2 linked regions of the Mytilus edulis genome follow. The protein of the gene in region 1 purifies or fractionates together with the protein of each later gene. This does not show direct contact. Links are inferred from orthologs where the notes say so. Each region holds a gene or a part of one and is shown on either strand. Other genes may lie near its edges.

Region 1 (7,665 bases):
TAAAGTTTCATTTTGGATACCGTAATAGTGTAATTTATAGAGTTATCTTTCATGAGGAACTTTGTCAAAGGTTTTGACAAAGTCCATTATAATTAAGTCTATTTGAGTGTTGTTGTTATCATTTGCTGCAAGTTCTTGGATGAATGAAATGAGTTGAGTTTCGCAAGATCTAGACTGACGGAAGCCATGCTGGATGTCATACAGTATATTGTTCGTTTCAAGATGGTTGATGATTTGTTTAGTGATGATATGCTCCATAAGTTTACAGAAAATACATGTCAATGATATAGGACGGTAATTTTCTGGTTTATATTTTCCCCCTTTTTTAAGTACTGGTGCTACGTTGGCGTGTTTCCAGTCTGATGGTATAAAGCAAGTTTCAAGTGATGTTTTGAAGATAAGTGTAAGAATTGGAGCTGTTTGGTCATTGAGTTCTTTAAGTATTCTGCCTCTGATATTGTCTGGGCCGGTTGCCTTTTGTGGGTTTATAGTGTGTAGGAGTTTCTTGACACCAGGTTAAGATATTTCGAGTGGTGTTATCACAGGATGTGAAAGGAAAAGAGGGACGAAAGATACCAAATGGACAGTCAAACTCATAAATCTAAAACAAACTGACAACGACATGGCTAAAAATGAAAAAGACAAACAGAAAAAACAATAGTACACATGACACAACATAGAAAACTAAAGAATAAACAACACGAACCCCACCAAAAACTAGGGGTGATCTCAGGTGCTCCGGAAGGGTAAGCAGATCCTGCTCCACATGTGGCACCCGTCGTGTTGCTTATGTGATTACAAATCCGGTAAATAGTCTAATTCGGTAGGTCACATTCATGAAAGGGAAGGGGATTGTAGCTACGACGTAAAGAACATATCCGATATCATTTGTGAACCGGTTATTCCATAACGGTCAACCAACTCGTGATGGCGTCCGTAAAATTTACGAAGGGATGATTTCAACTTCACCATTTGGAACTCTTGGTTTAATAGCTTTCTTGTGAGCAGTAACCCTCTATCAAGAAAATCATGATAGGAAATGCAAGCACGGGAATATCGTATCAATTGGGAGATATATACCCCGTATGCAGGTGCTGCTTGAATGTGGCTACTTAGAAATGGAAAGTTCACAATTGGAAAGTTGAAATCATCTCTTTTGTCGTAAAGTTTTGTTTTCAACCGACCCTCATTGTCAATTTCTAGATGTAAGTCAAGATATGAAGCCGACTTAACTGTATCTGTAGTATCCTTTATCTCCAATTCGATGAGATAGATGCGTTCCACATAGTCACCAACTTTTGAATTGTTTAGTGAAAGAACGTCATCTAAATAGCGGAAAGTAGAGTTAAAGGATATTGCTAACTTCTTATCTTTCTTCCTAAGAAGTTCCTGCATGAAGTCAGCCTCATAATAATAAAGAAACAAGTCGGCAAGTAGAGGGGCACAGTTTGTTCCCATTGGGATGCCGACAGTCTGTTGAAAAATACGTCCTCCGAACGTTACAAACATGTTGTCAATCAAGAAATCAAGCATCTTGATAATATCGGTTTCAGAGAATTTTATTGTTTGAATCAGAGTGATTCTTTACAAAGTATGATTTATCCCTCCCTAAGACAAGATACTTGTATCTACGTTGGCCATTCTTTTTTATGAAGCAAAGTAATACCAAATCTTTCAATTTGTCTTTTAGTTTGGAATGTGGAATACTTGTGTAAAGAGTAGAAAAGTCAAATGTTTTAATACTGTTACAAGATGAAAGAGAGTTAGATTGTATGTACTCTAAAAGATCTTTGGAATTTTTAAGTATCCACATCTGATTCCCGCCACCTCTAGAATAGGCAGTTTCACAATAACTTTGAAGCTCGTCTTTGATTGCTGATAAAATAGATGTTAATAATTTAGAAAGAGGTTTCGTGGAGCACTTGGAAGACCCAGCAATATACCGTTGTTTGTAAGGACACTTATGTAGTTTAGGTATCCAATACAGTGATGGAAGATCCAGTTCTTCATCTTTGGTTGAAATACCAAAGGAACAAAGAACAGACCTATGATTATCCAGGATTTCCTCTTTGGTAATTGTCGTGAGGGTATATGTTGAGTTTCCAAGTGAATTGTCTATACCTAATTCGTTTATCAAGCAATTAATGTAGTGACTTTTACAGACAAAAACGATGTTATTTGGGGCTTTGTCTGCGGGGACAACAACATATTTATCATGGAGGTCGGATAAGTGTTTAGCAACATTTGGGTCTTTAAAGATTGACGTAGCATGGGCATTGGTGGACCCATTCAGTTTCTTGATTCTAATTTGTATTAACGACCTCACTGCCTTAATCCATTCGGATAGAGTGTCTACGTCTTCCTTTTCACGTTTAGCCCATTGCCTGGCATAATCCTCGACTGAGTCCATCAAAATTTTAAAGTTGTATTTCCAATTGATGGATTTAGGCTCACGATATTTCGGACCTTTCGATAACACATTTCGTAGAGAAGTGTTATTAGCAATGTTAAGGTCACCGGTAATAACGTGGCCAGCAGGATTATATATGAATTGGGAACTAGCACAAGTGCAATCAGGAGGTTTAGACTTGAAGTCGTCAATATCAAGATTCTGCAAAACGCGTTTGTAATTGAAAATTTTAGTTGCAATAGGTTTGGTATAGGTATAAGAAATTATTGGTACAGACTAGTCTTTGAAATAAGGAGGTATTTTCGATTGAACTAATTTATGATGAAGGATATTGCCTAGGTTGACGCCATCGAGACCTTTGTTGGCAAAGGAAAGATTTAGAAAAGATTTTTTCTCTTTTTCATCTTTTCCAATGCGAACTGGCTTGAAAAGTCTGTGACTTGCAATATCCGAAATTATAGCTTGAAGTTTGTATTGGTTTGAATGAGGGTTTGTAACAGTGGATTCCAAACATAAATTGAACAGAGAATGAAGTTTTGAAAGGGGTAATGAATAAAGTTTCGTGCGAATGTGATGAATACCTAACGGCTTTTGTATGAATGACAGCAAGTCATTAATAGAGACATCATGCAGGGAAGGTGATGTATAATGACGATGACCATGACTGCGTCTACGTCGAGGAGTCGAGTTGAAAATATTCATCACATTCACCGAGTTACACGAAGGACTAGATAGAATACCTATACCATCAATTTTGTCATTGCAGCCATACGGTGTTGCAGTTCCCAATTGTCTAATCCAGTAGTCTTCTTTTTGTCTACGGAGAGTCGTTGAAATATTAGGATTGTTAGAGCTATGGTATATCTTTTCGATAATGCGAACTGTCATAGAAACGATGGAATGATCGGGCTGATTGAAATGCTGGTATAGAATGTCGTTAGCATTGAGGTTAATGTCTGATCTATGACCGCACATACGTTTGTTTAGCCTTCCTTTCGTTTCACCGACGTATACCAATCCGCAAAGGTTGCACAAAGGTGTGAGCTAGGACCTTTGTCTGGAATGGTGTTATTTGATTCAGTTGTAAACACTGATTGGAATTGTGTGTTGAGGATGTCTGCCTTTTGCTTTGTATCATCTATTAACTGTCCTTTTTTTAGTGGTGCGACACCGTTGTTATCTGTGCTCAGTGATTTAATAAAGGAAAATAGCTTTTTAGGTTTAGATTGATTGTTGCACTGTTGGTCTGGTTCATTTATGGGTAGGTCTAATATCATTTTTTCAATATAACCCCAGTATGCAGTTCTTTGTTCTTTTTGTACTTGTTTTCTCAGACGTCGGTACTTTTCAGCATACCTGGTGTCTTGTTTCATTTTATGATATAGCTTGTTTTTTTCTATTTATCATTTTCCTTAAATTGTTGTGAATCCAAGGTAGTCTATTTTTGTATGTTAGGAACTTATGAGGAATGTTGTTTTCCACCGATTTTGTAAGGTTTGTTTTAAATGTGTCAACTTCCACATGTCATTTACATTTGTTTTGTCCTCTAGGTTTAGTAGATCTTTGTATGTTTTTTCTAGATCTGATTTGATGTTACTCCAGTTAGATTTGTTGTATTTCAATATTTTTCTAGGTTTTTCTCTCACCCTGCGCAACCAAATGTCAGATTCTACATAAACAATGTCGTGGTCACTAAGGCCTATTGGTGGTAGTGTACTAACCTTGTTAATGTTGGATGGATTATTGACTAGTACTAAATCTAAAAAAAAATCTTTCCGTGTTGTTATGTTCACTATAATTTGATGAAAGTTTCTATCGATAATTTTTATAGCACTCTACTGTGCTGAGAAAGGAAATCATCAGTCAGTGAGATCAAAGCAACATTTCGTAAATTAGCTACAAATACATTTCTAACGACAAAACATATCATTTATCTATATGTTTAACTTAACAAATATTTTCGGTTATCAATAAAAAGCGCAAGGAAATACCTGAGGCAACATATATAACATCGCTATAACCTCTCAGTGTTATCAGTGAGGGCTCAGCCAATGCAAAAATATCTTGATACATTAAGTATTTATACGTTTTCCTAAAATTCAAATCATATACTGAAAGAGTTGTTCATGAATAATATCGCTAAGCCGCGCGCGATCTCTACCAGGAACGGTCGAAAATTACGTCATCGATCAATCAGTTTAAACTGAGACGTAATAGCAGACGAAGCATTGTACCATATAGGAAATTTAAGGGAAGTTGCACGAATTCGGAAGTTGTGTGTTACGGATATTTTCATGAAAAGATACAGATAAATGCCATATATAGTACAATCCACTTCAATCAGTGAATATTCTACGACGATCGAGCATTTGTATATTTACAAAGCCTTGTGACGACACAGTATAGCGGTACGGCAAAATAATGTGCTCCTCTTAACGGAGGAAGTTAGAGGTTTCTATTTGGACACAGGTCAAAGCGTTCTGTTAGTTTCTTTCCCCTGTCCACAATAAACGCATACTTTTTTTCAAAATAAATAATTTTTCGAGGTTTATGTGAAAGGTATGCAGAAAACTGGACAGTCTTTACAGGTAAGTTTACAGATGAAAAGAATAATGCTACAGTACCCAATATTCACCCAATGTGAAAGCAACGTAAATCTAGATTTTCAACTCTTTTTTTCCGTCGTCTTCTCTCATTCTCCGTCTACAAGTCTAGTGTACTTATAACATTCTTTTAAAGAATCCAGTCCTTAGCATGGAAGAAGAAAAAGAAGAAGAAATTATCATGATTATGTCCAAGAGAGGATTATCTACAATAGAGATTACCCTGTCATCACGACAAAGATTGAAGATTATGTCTCAAAATGCATAAAAAACACACCGAACAAATATGACTAATATTATCCTAAGATGATACTTTCCATTGACCTAAGTGCTATTTGTCTGCCATTACTGGAAGTCACAACAGATGTACCCATTCCAGTTTAAATTTTGGTCTGGGGACAGAGATGTGTGTGGGAGGGTAAAAATCACCCTTCTGATGTACTGACAGGGGCGTAGCTAGCTATTCATTCAACTGTAGTCACAAATCGGCAGGGGGTCTGGAGGCCACTTATGAATTATGGGTAATAAGTAGCATTTAACCATTGGTTAAGTAACTTATCCAGTGGCTTACTAACCATGCTAACCAGACTCCCATTTAACCATGGAGCAATGGAAAAATAGCCAACGGATAGTAAGCCACTGGATAACATAATTAGCCGTTGGATAAGCTAACCAATGGTTAAATTTAGCCATAGATTTGAGCAACCCAGTCCAGGTAGGGGGTTCAGGGGGGGGCGAAACCCCCTGACTGAAAATGGTTTTCAGCGTTTTAGCTGCAAAATTTTATGTACTAAAATATTAAATTTACTGGTTATTTAATCATGATAATTATAAAATACATGATGAAAATTTCGTAGAATTATGAATAATGTACCATAACATCTGACTGGTGAAAATTTTTAAATAACACAGTACAATCCGTAATATAAAGAAAAATATTTACAATATGCATTGCCCAGCGTAGATCAGCGTATCCCTTTAATTTTAGCAGTACACCCTGTTTTGTATTATCATATCTATTCCGTTCTGATTGATATATACGTTAACTTAATTAATAGTACATATTGACGATCCTTCATTAAAAAAGATAGGCATGTAAACACTGATACTACAAATGTACTATATAATAGAACTATCCTTTTGGCTAGACATCAACCATCAATCTTTTGAATCTTAAACCTTCACCCTAAGGCCTAACAAAATTCAAATTTCTTTATATATCCTCTTCTGTAAAATCCCTACCTGCTTAGGAATTTTGAATAATTGTGGCCATTACACGCAGATTTGAGAGTACTCAAAATTACTGGAAGCCAGTTGATTGATTGATTTGTTTACATCCAGTGTCAAATATTTATGCAATTTCAGGACCGTTGAATTTTCTTTTTGCAATAAATACAACTTGGAGCTAGGTCCTGTAATAGGTGTCATCCAGGACGAAGGTCTGGAAATTTAAAAATACCATGCATTGGAAAATGAGGGATTATTGGATAGGAGCAGAAGTTTTGCCTTTCAGTAGACCAACTACGAACTCCTTAAATAGTTGCATTCTCTCTACAACTAGGCATCTGATTTAATGTTCCCATTCTGACCAGATGTGACTGCGTATTTATACATCCTGCACACCCAAACAGATGACCAACATTGGCATTTCGGGTGAAGACAATGTGGTAAACTATTTGAAAACTGACAACAACTAATTAAAAAACTCATGTGTCTAAGTTAAGGTTCATTCAAGTTTTTGTTGATAGAAGTGAAATGATCTGAGCAAAGTTATAGTTTTAACATGTTTAATATAGTTTTTATATAATGTAAAATCGTAAAAACATTAAATTCTATCTCATATTCCATTCACTCAAGGAGGAGAGACTAGTGTACACATGACATTGGATAATTTAAGAGTTTTGACAACTTCACCAGCTTTCATCTACAGATAATGTTGTTTATTATTTTTTTTTGATAAAAAAATATAAATGTGAAAAAATTATGTGTAGGCACGTGCCTAAAGTGCCTAACGGCAGCTACCCACCCCCCTGACTGATAGTTTGAGCTCCCAGAGTCAAAATCAAACTCAGAACCCTAAGCACAGTAGACATCTGTATATCAACCTCTTAGACCACAAACCCACACTAAAAGTGCTACAACCTTTTCATCCTCCACATACATTTGTACACCTTATCGCTATCTACTGGACATCACACAGGTTCCCGTAAAATTTTAACGTCATATAAGACATAATACAAAATATCTGAAACCACAATGGAAAAGTGATTGTTGTATGATGTCAATAGTTCAAGCAGGACAGATTCTCAGGTCCACCTGGAACAGTCAGAGCTCAGACATAAATAAGTCTGAATCTGCTTTTGACTCATAGAGGTCTAAATTTGTAAGTTTTAGGATTAGTCTCCCCTTAATGCAAGACAAAATATGACTTTAATAAGTCAAATCTTGTTAAGCAAGAAATAATTGACCACAATCAAAAAGTTGCATATATCGACTCCTACAAGTCGATAAGTGATCAAAATTGGTTAACTTCAAGACCCACGCATATTTATAAGGAGGTCATGCATCTAAATCAAATAATGACAACATTGAAAGACAATGCTTTGTCTTCTAAAGAAAAATATGAATGAGAGACTAAAAAATCGGAGATAA
Region 2 (8,258 bases), on another chromosome or scaffold:
CATATATTTGTTTTCAAATTATAGTCTGTGAACCAGAAAATTGCTACTTTTTGCCCCTTTTTTGCCATTGATTAAAAAGCTACGACAAAAACTCCCAAATTCAATATACGCATACTCAAGTTATTGTCTCCGAACCAGAAAAAAATGTTTGTTTGTTATTCCTTTCATGGCCCCTACAACAAAGACAAATAAAAAATTCAAACCTTCCTATATTGTGGTATGGAACTTTGTCGGCTAAAATTTCTTAGAGATCAATACACTTATACTCATGTTATTGTCTGCAAAACAAAATGTCTTCCAACGACGACACAGACATAGACAATAATATAGTGCATTGCCCTGACATATCAACGATATAAGGATGCAGCTTAGAAACGGGGAAATGCGATGCTCTGCCGAGCTATTTCCCCGTTTCGGGCCGAATCCTTATATCGTTGATATTTCTAGCAAAATTTCAAAGAGATCCATACACTTATATAGACAATAATAGTGCATTGACTTGACATACCAACGATATAAGGATGAGGCTTAGAAACGGGGAAATGCGATGCTCTGCCGAGCTATTTCCCCGTTTCGGGCCGAATCCTTATATCGTTGATGTTTCTAGCCAATGTACTATTATTGTCTTTATACTGCAATCTAGAAAAACATTTTAATTTGTTTAATGCGTTAAGGTTATTTATTTATTTAAATATTTGGGGAAATCCCCTTTAGAAAGGCCTCATATCATGCTCGTGGAGAAATATACAACGCAATGAAATGTACATTTACCTGTTGAAACCCACACTCGATGGTGAACGAAATCGTTTGAGTATGGACTAAAATATCAACCATAAGCATAAAACATAATGATTTATAGGTTGCAAACAAAAATTATTAACAAATGAAATATGTTTTTCCAATAATTGCAAAAGAAACAAGGTTGAGTCGTTCCATGCATAGTTGTATGCATGGGAAACAAGAACAGGTTGAAGAGGTCGTATGAATAATTAAATATTATTTCGGCAACTTCTATTTAAATATTCGTGAGGAAAAGTGATAGCGGGTCAGTGACTGTATATGACATAGAAATATACAGTCAACGCATTATGACTGCTCAAATAGAACGAGTGCAGTATAAATCGTCATAATATACGAACGCAAACATTTTGCAGTCGTATAAAAATTAAGTGCGTGTCACCTTTCTGGGTTTACCTTCATCGGGAATGTTTAAATTCAAAAAGTTGAAGGGCAATAATGTATATAAGGTGTCGGTATATTTCATTTTTTTTAATTTCATCTGCGTTTTACATGAAGAGTGTGTCTTCAGAATATGATAACATCTTTCAAGCTGCGTTTCCGTTGAGTTTATGTGAAGCTGTCACGAAAACGAAATTCCTCTAATCTGCAAGTCATGATCCTGTTTAGTAGTCCTCAAATGCACTTTGTACTTGTTTGGCTTTATAATTATTTTGATCTGAGCGTGACTGATGAGTCTTGTGTAGACGAAACGCGCGTCTGCGTATTAAATTATAATCCTGGTACCTTTGATAACTATTATCTTGCTGTTTTTTTTTTCTTTTTAAAAGTGTCTATCTTTCTTTAATAGTTAGAAATTAGGCAAAAATCGTTATTATAGGGCAATAACTGATTAGACAATAAGGTGTCGACTGAAGATTTGGCCACGTTTGACTTGTTTGTAGATCTTGTCTTGCTGGTCATAATCTCTATAATTGCCGAGTTAAATAACGAACATTTTTTAAAATAGTAAAATACATCATTTGAGGGCAAGAACTCTTATAAGAAGACGTTTCACAGTTTCGACACACACGAAAATAAATGTAGCTCAACATTCTGAACATGTTTTCCCTGCTAGATTTTCATTACCTATAGCGGTTTTAAAAGTAATAGTCAAACTTATATTTGACGCCTATTTCTATTTTAAGCCATGTAGGCCATTTTGGTTGGAAGGCCATTGATCATTGGACACATTTTTTTAAACTATATACCCAAGTGATGATTGGGGTTAAGTTTATTAAATATAGTCCAATAGATTTAGAGAAGATTTCTATAAAAGTAAACAGATGACAACGGACGACGGATGAAGGACAAGACGACGATTGGGGACGGACCGTCGGTCGAAGAACGACGGGTGTCAATCGAAGATCGACGGGCGCTAAGTATTTAGAGGTGATTGATTGACCTTTTATTCCAGGTGAGTTAAAAAGGGTTTAGGATGTTTGTTCCAAGCGGAACACATATTATGGCATTGTTTATAACAAAGTTTCCAGGCGAATTTCTGTTAGACAGGAACAAATACAACTAGACATAGCTTAAACTCGACAATTAAAAAGTCATTCATAACAGCAAAGGAACAACCTGCGACAAAAGGAGCCCAGTTGGTCTTCATCAAAACGATAATAAAGCCTGGTAAAGTGTATCTCGAAAAAACTATAACAAAACATTTACTGTGCTTTTCAGGTCGTATAATCCTTTTCCAAATAAGAATTTCCCTTTTGGTAAAACTGTTTGTAGTTAGTTTCGTAGTTAGTTTTGTCTCATTGACGTTAATATATACTTCACAGTTCATTTATTTCTGTGAATACATCATATTTATAGGTAATTAAGATTTGACTTGGTTTATTTTGTGCGTTAACTAAAATGATTCACATATGATATGTATAATAAATAACAACAAAGTTTACTTACTTTTACTCATGGTAGTTAATTGTAGGACATTTGTGGAATGAGAGTTACAGGCTTAGGTAACATTGGTCACACGTAATGTGAAAGTTCTGTCATTGCCGCATGGTTATCAAATCATGTCCAGGTTAATATCACATTACCTAAAATGAGAGCATAAACTTGCATGTATATTTATTTTATTTATTATTTCAGTTTCAGCAAACAAATTTCTGTACAAATAAGTAGAGCAGTCAATGCATAGCTAAGTATAAGGTTTGAATTATATTAAAATGAGATGCGAAAGATACAGGAGGGACATTTAAACTCGTCAGTCGAAAATAAACTGACAATGCCATAGCTTAAAAAAGTAAAATATCAACAGACAAACAATAGTACACAAAACACAACACACAACATAGAAAACTAAAGACAGCAACAGGAATCCCGAAAAAAACTTTATGTGATCCCAGGTGCTCCGGAAGGGTAAATTGATCCTGTTTCACTTGTGGCTCATGTCACGGTACAAACCCGGTAATAATTCTAATTCGGTAGGTCACATTAGGGAAAAATGATACTGGAGACCACAAAGCAAACGTTATCACATCAACATTATTCAACAAGATTAAAATGAATCGTGTTGTTTGCTAACAGTGGCGCCGGGATCCAGAACTTTTTATAAAAAGGGGTCGCTGAATGACCTGGGTTGGTCCGCTCCAGTCATGATTGATTGATTGATTCCATATATAAATAATCAACCAAATTTTCCAATGAAAAGGGGCCCCAGGCCCCCAAGGGCCCTCTAGATCCGCCTTTGAATTGACTTACTTCCGCATATTTCTCGAATTAATTCAAGTAAATGGACTTTGACCCCATTTATGAACTGTTCAATAAGTCATTTTTTTTTTTAGATTATATAATACATTTAGTACCCACAGTATTCACTGTTGTTTAAAAATACATAATTTTCCAGTAATAGTCAACGTTTTTCTGTGTTGCTCCAGTCGTTCATTTTGGACGACCCACTCATGCAGTATACACAGTCAAAATTGATATGGCAAGAAATGAAACTTCATTTTTTACACTAATAAAAATCTAGAAATATATTAGTGTTACCATAGATATTACATCTATGGTGTTACCTTATCTTTGATGTCCATGCATTCCCATTCAATCATGCGTCTTAAAATTTCCGAGAAAACAATGAACTATTATCCAACCATTTCCCCCTGAAGATATAAATAGAATCGACTCAATCTTAAAATGGAATTCCCCTTCTACATAATTAAAATTATTTGCGATATATTTTTGTCAGTAACATGCAACTAATTTCATCAATTAAGGTTCATCATAACCTTTTGGCTAAAATGGCCGTATTTACACCCCAAATTTTACTCTGAGTACAGACTAACCTATACACCTGCAACAGTTTTAAGGGATGGCAGGAACTAGATATATAAATTTTAAATGCATTTTATGTTTCAGAAAATTATAAACTTTTCTAGATTTTGCTATCCATTTTTTTTCGTTCCTGCAGAAGGTGCAAAAATTAACTAAGTAGTGAAAACGATTGAGAAGCTCCCCTCATATTATCAATGTTGTGAGTAGTATTGATTTAAATTGACAATAGACACCTGTAAACAATAGGTTATTTAACAGGTTTAAACTGTGTATCTGAGTGGACCGTATCAAATGAAACTCGGGTGTTTGTTTATTTTGCTATCTTCTGCAGACTGGAAAAAAATGAACATCAAAATCCAGGTAAGTTTTTAATTTTCTGAAACGTAGACTTCATATAACTTTTATATATCTAGTTCCTGCCATGCCTTAAAACTTTCCTGGATGTACCAGTTTGTCTGTACTCATAGTAATTTTGGAAGTGTAAACACGGCCATATTTTTCAATTCCTTATGATGAACCTTAAACGAGTTCATTAAACACAACGAAAAGTACTACAGACCACAGCCGGATGCAACAAATGCCACAACGCGGACGTCGCTGACAACACTCTATGACCGCAGCAGCCTTATATTGTTAACAAAGGATGTATTTTGTGTGAGTTCGTGGTCTAGTGGTTAAGACCGATGGCTACAGTGCTGAAGGTCCCGAGTTCGATTCTCACTCGGGGTGCTAAAAATCTCAGTACATTAGAAGGGTAATTTTCACCCTCTCACACACATCTCTGGTACCCAGACCGGAGTTTAAACTAGAATGGGTACGTTGGGGGCCTCGGTTGGTCAAAGTGTCCCTACTTTGACCTGGAGATCAATCTTCTGATATCTCTCTGGTTTGTCTGTTTCCACCGAGTGGCCCGGTGGTTCTCTCCGAGTACTTCGGCTTCCTCCACCACAATAACAGACTTCCCGGTGTCCTAGCACTCCCTTTGTGTTGAATTGGGTGGGGATTGGTTGTCCTTGTAAAAATAATTGTCGTATAAATATACGTTAGTGACACATCTCCATTAATCCCGTTAGGGAGTGTACATGGATGCCACTGTACCCTCGCAGCTTTCGAGGGGTTCTTCGGATATCGGAGGCATTTACCAGTACATACATACATAGGTAGTTATTTAGATCCGAAAACTACTTCCGGTGAAAACAAATCGGCATGATCAGCAACATTTGTTTAAAAAGTTGAATCATGAAGTAATGCTTTACGTCTTAATTATCAAAATCCTACTTGTTAGAAAAATACCATAATAGATTAAGTATAGATGAAGAATGAAGTGTAAAATTAAAAAAAACTCAAATAGGGAGAACTAGAGTAGCAAAAATAATTTATCAGCATCAGCTAGGACTATTTATAATTTTATACTAACGGGACTGGAAACTGATCAATCTGTTAAGATTTAAATGCCCCGAAAAGCGGGATTACTGATTTTTTGTTTTGATGACAGCTTATCGTGTCACGTAGTAAATTAGCATTTGGAACAAGTAAACAAGTCAGCCGATAGAAAACTATTAAAATTGGGGGATTCGAAATAAAGAATAATTATTAAATTAATTAGTTTATATGCAAAATAATCGATATTGTTTACGAAAAAATATTAATAAATTGTCAATATGTAAGTGTTGCCAGAAATAGTTGAAAATTAAAGTGGCCGACAATTTACTTGACCACTAAGAAAACAATGTGTCAAAGGTTAACAGATACATGTAATAAGGGCTATTTAAAAAAAAAATGATGCCTTTGTCAGATTATATAATCCTGATAAAAACAATTAGTGTGCAATAAAAACAATGTTGACAATTTCAGTTCCTAATTAATTCATATAACAAAATTAAAGCTATCCGGGTCTCATGAAAACATAGCCACATTGTTTTGAACTTTTTTGAACTTCGTGTTTATGTAAGTGATAAATTTGTCCTGGTAAAAAATGTCTGGGCGGACAAACATTACTACATGTAGTATAAAAAGTCCATGGTTACAGAATTTACTAGTATATTTAGTCCGATGTTAGTAATATATGTCCCCAGACTAATTTTCCTAGGTAATCATGTCCTTTAAAATCATATAATAAGTTCAATTACATGTACATTCAAACCATGGAAATTTAAAATGTTATGTTTTAGGCCACACCAATTTAATTTCTTGTTCTACGGATTTTTGGACTCCAAAATTTGGGGTGAGCGAGCGATTTGAAAATTTTAATAAAAAAATATTTAATTTGCAAATTTTTGAGGCGAAGCTTGAAAAGTAAAGGCGAGCGATTATAATTTTTTTTTGTAAACATAAAATAATAGGTTTTGACAATATTAAAACTTGATTTATCACTTGTACTTTGACATTTCTTTAATTTCTGAAGTATTTTTTCCCTGTTCACCAAGAAATAATTAAATCTGGTCTATGTATGTGTGACTGACAATGAGACAATTCTCCATCCGAATCATAATCAGTTTTGGGGCAACCCCTTAATGTTATAAATATCCCTTTTACATGTTTTATGAGGGATCAATATAAGTTATAATATATTTGTTTGTACAAAAGGGCTCATATTTTCTAATAGAAATATATATCTATCTGGTATTAAATGGTCAAAACATGTCCAAGAATTTAGAAATATTCCTGGACTTTAACCATGTTAACACATTTACTTTAACAGTTTAATATTATTCAAAATTAGTGGACCCCTCTTTTAGAAAAAATGTTTAAAATAGGATGTAACTCTCCTCTTTTTGAGTACAAAATTCTAAGTGTTCAAAGGTTTTGTATAGAAGAACTATTTTCTTTTCTACATCAGTAAAATGACCCCTTGTCTGAGGGAGGGTTGTTCTCAACCTGATAATAACAAACACAGGTCAAAGTACGGCCTTTTACACAGGGCTTTGATAAAGACCAAACAGCAAGCTATAAAGGACCCCAAAATTATTAGCGTACACAATTCGAACAGGAAAACCAACGATCTAATTTATATAATACCAATGAACAACATCAACAAACGATAACTGCTGAACGCCATGCTCCTGAATCAATCAGGACAGGTGCATAAACATGCAGCGACTATGGATAGTTTTGTTTCGCCAGCATACAATATAATTACAGTTGAAGGCAAATCCTTCAGAAGTTCTTTGTACTTTATTCTAACAACGAACATTTTTTTGATAGGGAATATAAGTAAGGGGGAAAGAAACCAATTTTTTGTTCTTCACGGAAATACCCGCTGTTATAACTTTTTATCGGAGCACTCCAGGTTTCATGCTGAAACAAATATTCTCACAGATATTTACACAGTGTGGTGGGGTGCTTTTATGTTTAAAATCGTTATATACAGGTTAGACTCACTGTGATTTAACAAATGTTGATATCTTTTTATAATATTTACAACAACAAAAAACGGTGCGGGAAATGGACATGATTACAATTCCGGATGCGGGAAGCGGGAATATAAAAAAAATAAAAAAATTCTGTTTTGAAAAAAATAGGTGCGGGCGGGTCCGTCAAACAAGGGATCGAATTGGTGTGGCCTTAGTAATGTTTAAGAGTTGCATAGTTATATTTTTGATAAAATTCATGTCCCCAGACTAATTTTCCAAGAAAATCATGTCCATGTCCTTAATACATGTAGTCTTAAGTTAAAATGTCCATGCCCTTAATTTTAAAAGGTGAATATGAATGTAATATGTTTTAATATTGCTAAAGACAAAATGAAAAAGTTGTGTATCAATCTGTTCAATAAAATTTGTCTCCAGACTAATTTTCCTAGGAAATCATGTCCATGTCATTAATAGTTCTAGGTTAAAATGTCCATGCCCTTAATTTTAAAAGGTGAATATAAATGTAATACATTGTATGTTTTAATATTGTTAAAGAGTTGTGTATCAATTTTTTAAATAAAATTTATGTAAAAATAAGGAAATTTTCCAATCTTATCTAACATTTTTTTCATCTATTTTAAATATATTTTTATATGATATAATAAAACTATAAGAAAAACAAGTCTTCGGACAATTGCCAGACATAATTTACTAGCTATGGACTTATTTTCCTAGGAACATTTGTCCTAGGACTTATATTCCTAGTAAAATCATGGACATGGACTTGATTAACTAGGAAAAAAAGTCTGTGGGACAAATTTTACTACCGGACCAAATTTACTG

What was found.
Region 2: the proteins of cyclin-H-like (region 1) and general transcription and DNA repair factor IIH helicase subunit XPD-like purify together in Homo sapiens (affinity purification with mass spectrometry; 3 studies listed by BioGRID and IntAct, counting the BioPlex papers as one, with this or other methods). This does not show direct contact. The link is inferred for Mytilus edulis from reciprocal best matches to the Homo sapiens genes CCNH and ERCC2.

Annotation. Positions count from the first base shown.
Region 1 is NC_092345.1:45,276,578-45,284,242, reverse strand, and holds the start of cyclin-H-like, read left to right. Parts: upstream 1-4,623; 5' UTR 4,624-4,818; exon of another isoform or gene 4,819-4,998; intron 4,999-7,665. UniProt on the Homo sapiens protein: Regulates CDK7, the catalytic subunit of the CDK-activating kinase (CAK) enzymatic complex. CAK activates the cyclin-associated kinases CDK1, CDK2, CDK4 and CDK6 by threonine phosphorylation.
Region 2 is NC_092346.1:11,156,426-11,164,683, forward strand, and holds the start of general transcription and DNA repair factor IIH helicase subunit XPD-like, read left to right. Parts: upstream 1-5,222; 5' UTR 5,223-5,301; coding exon 5,302-5,306; exon of another isoform or gene 5,307-5,424; intron 5,425-8,258. UniProt on the Homo sapiens protein: ATP-dependent 5'-3' DNA helicase. Component of the general transcription and DNA repair factor IIH (TFIIH) core complex, not absolutely essential for minimal transcription in vitro.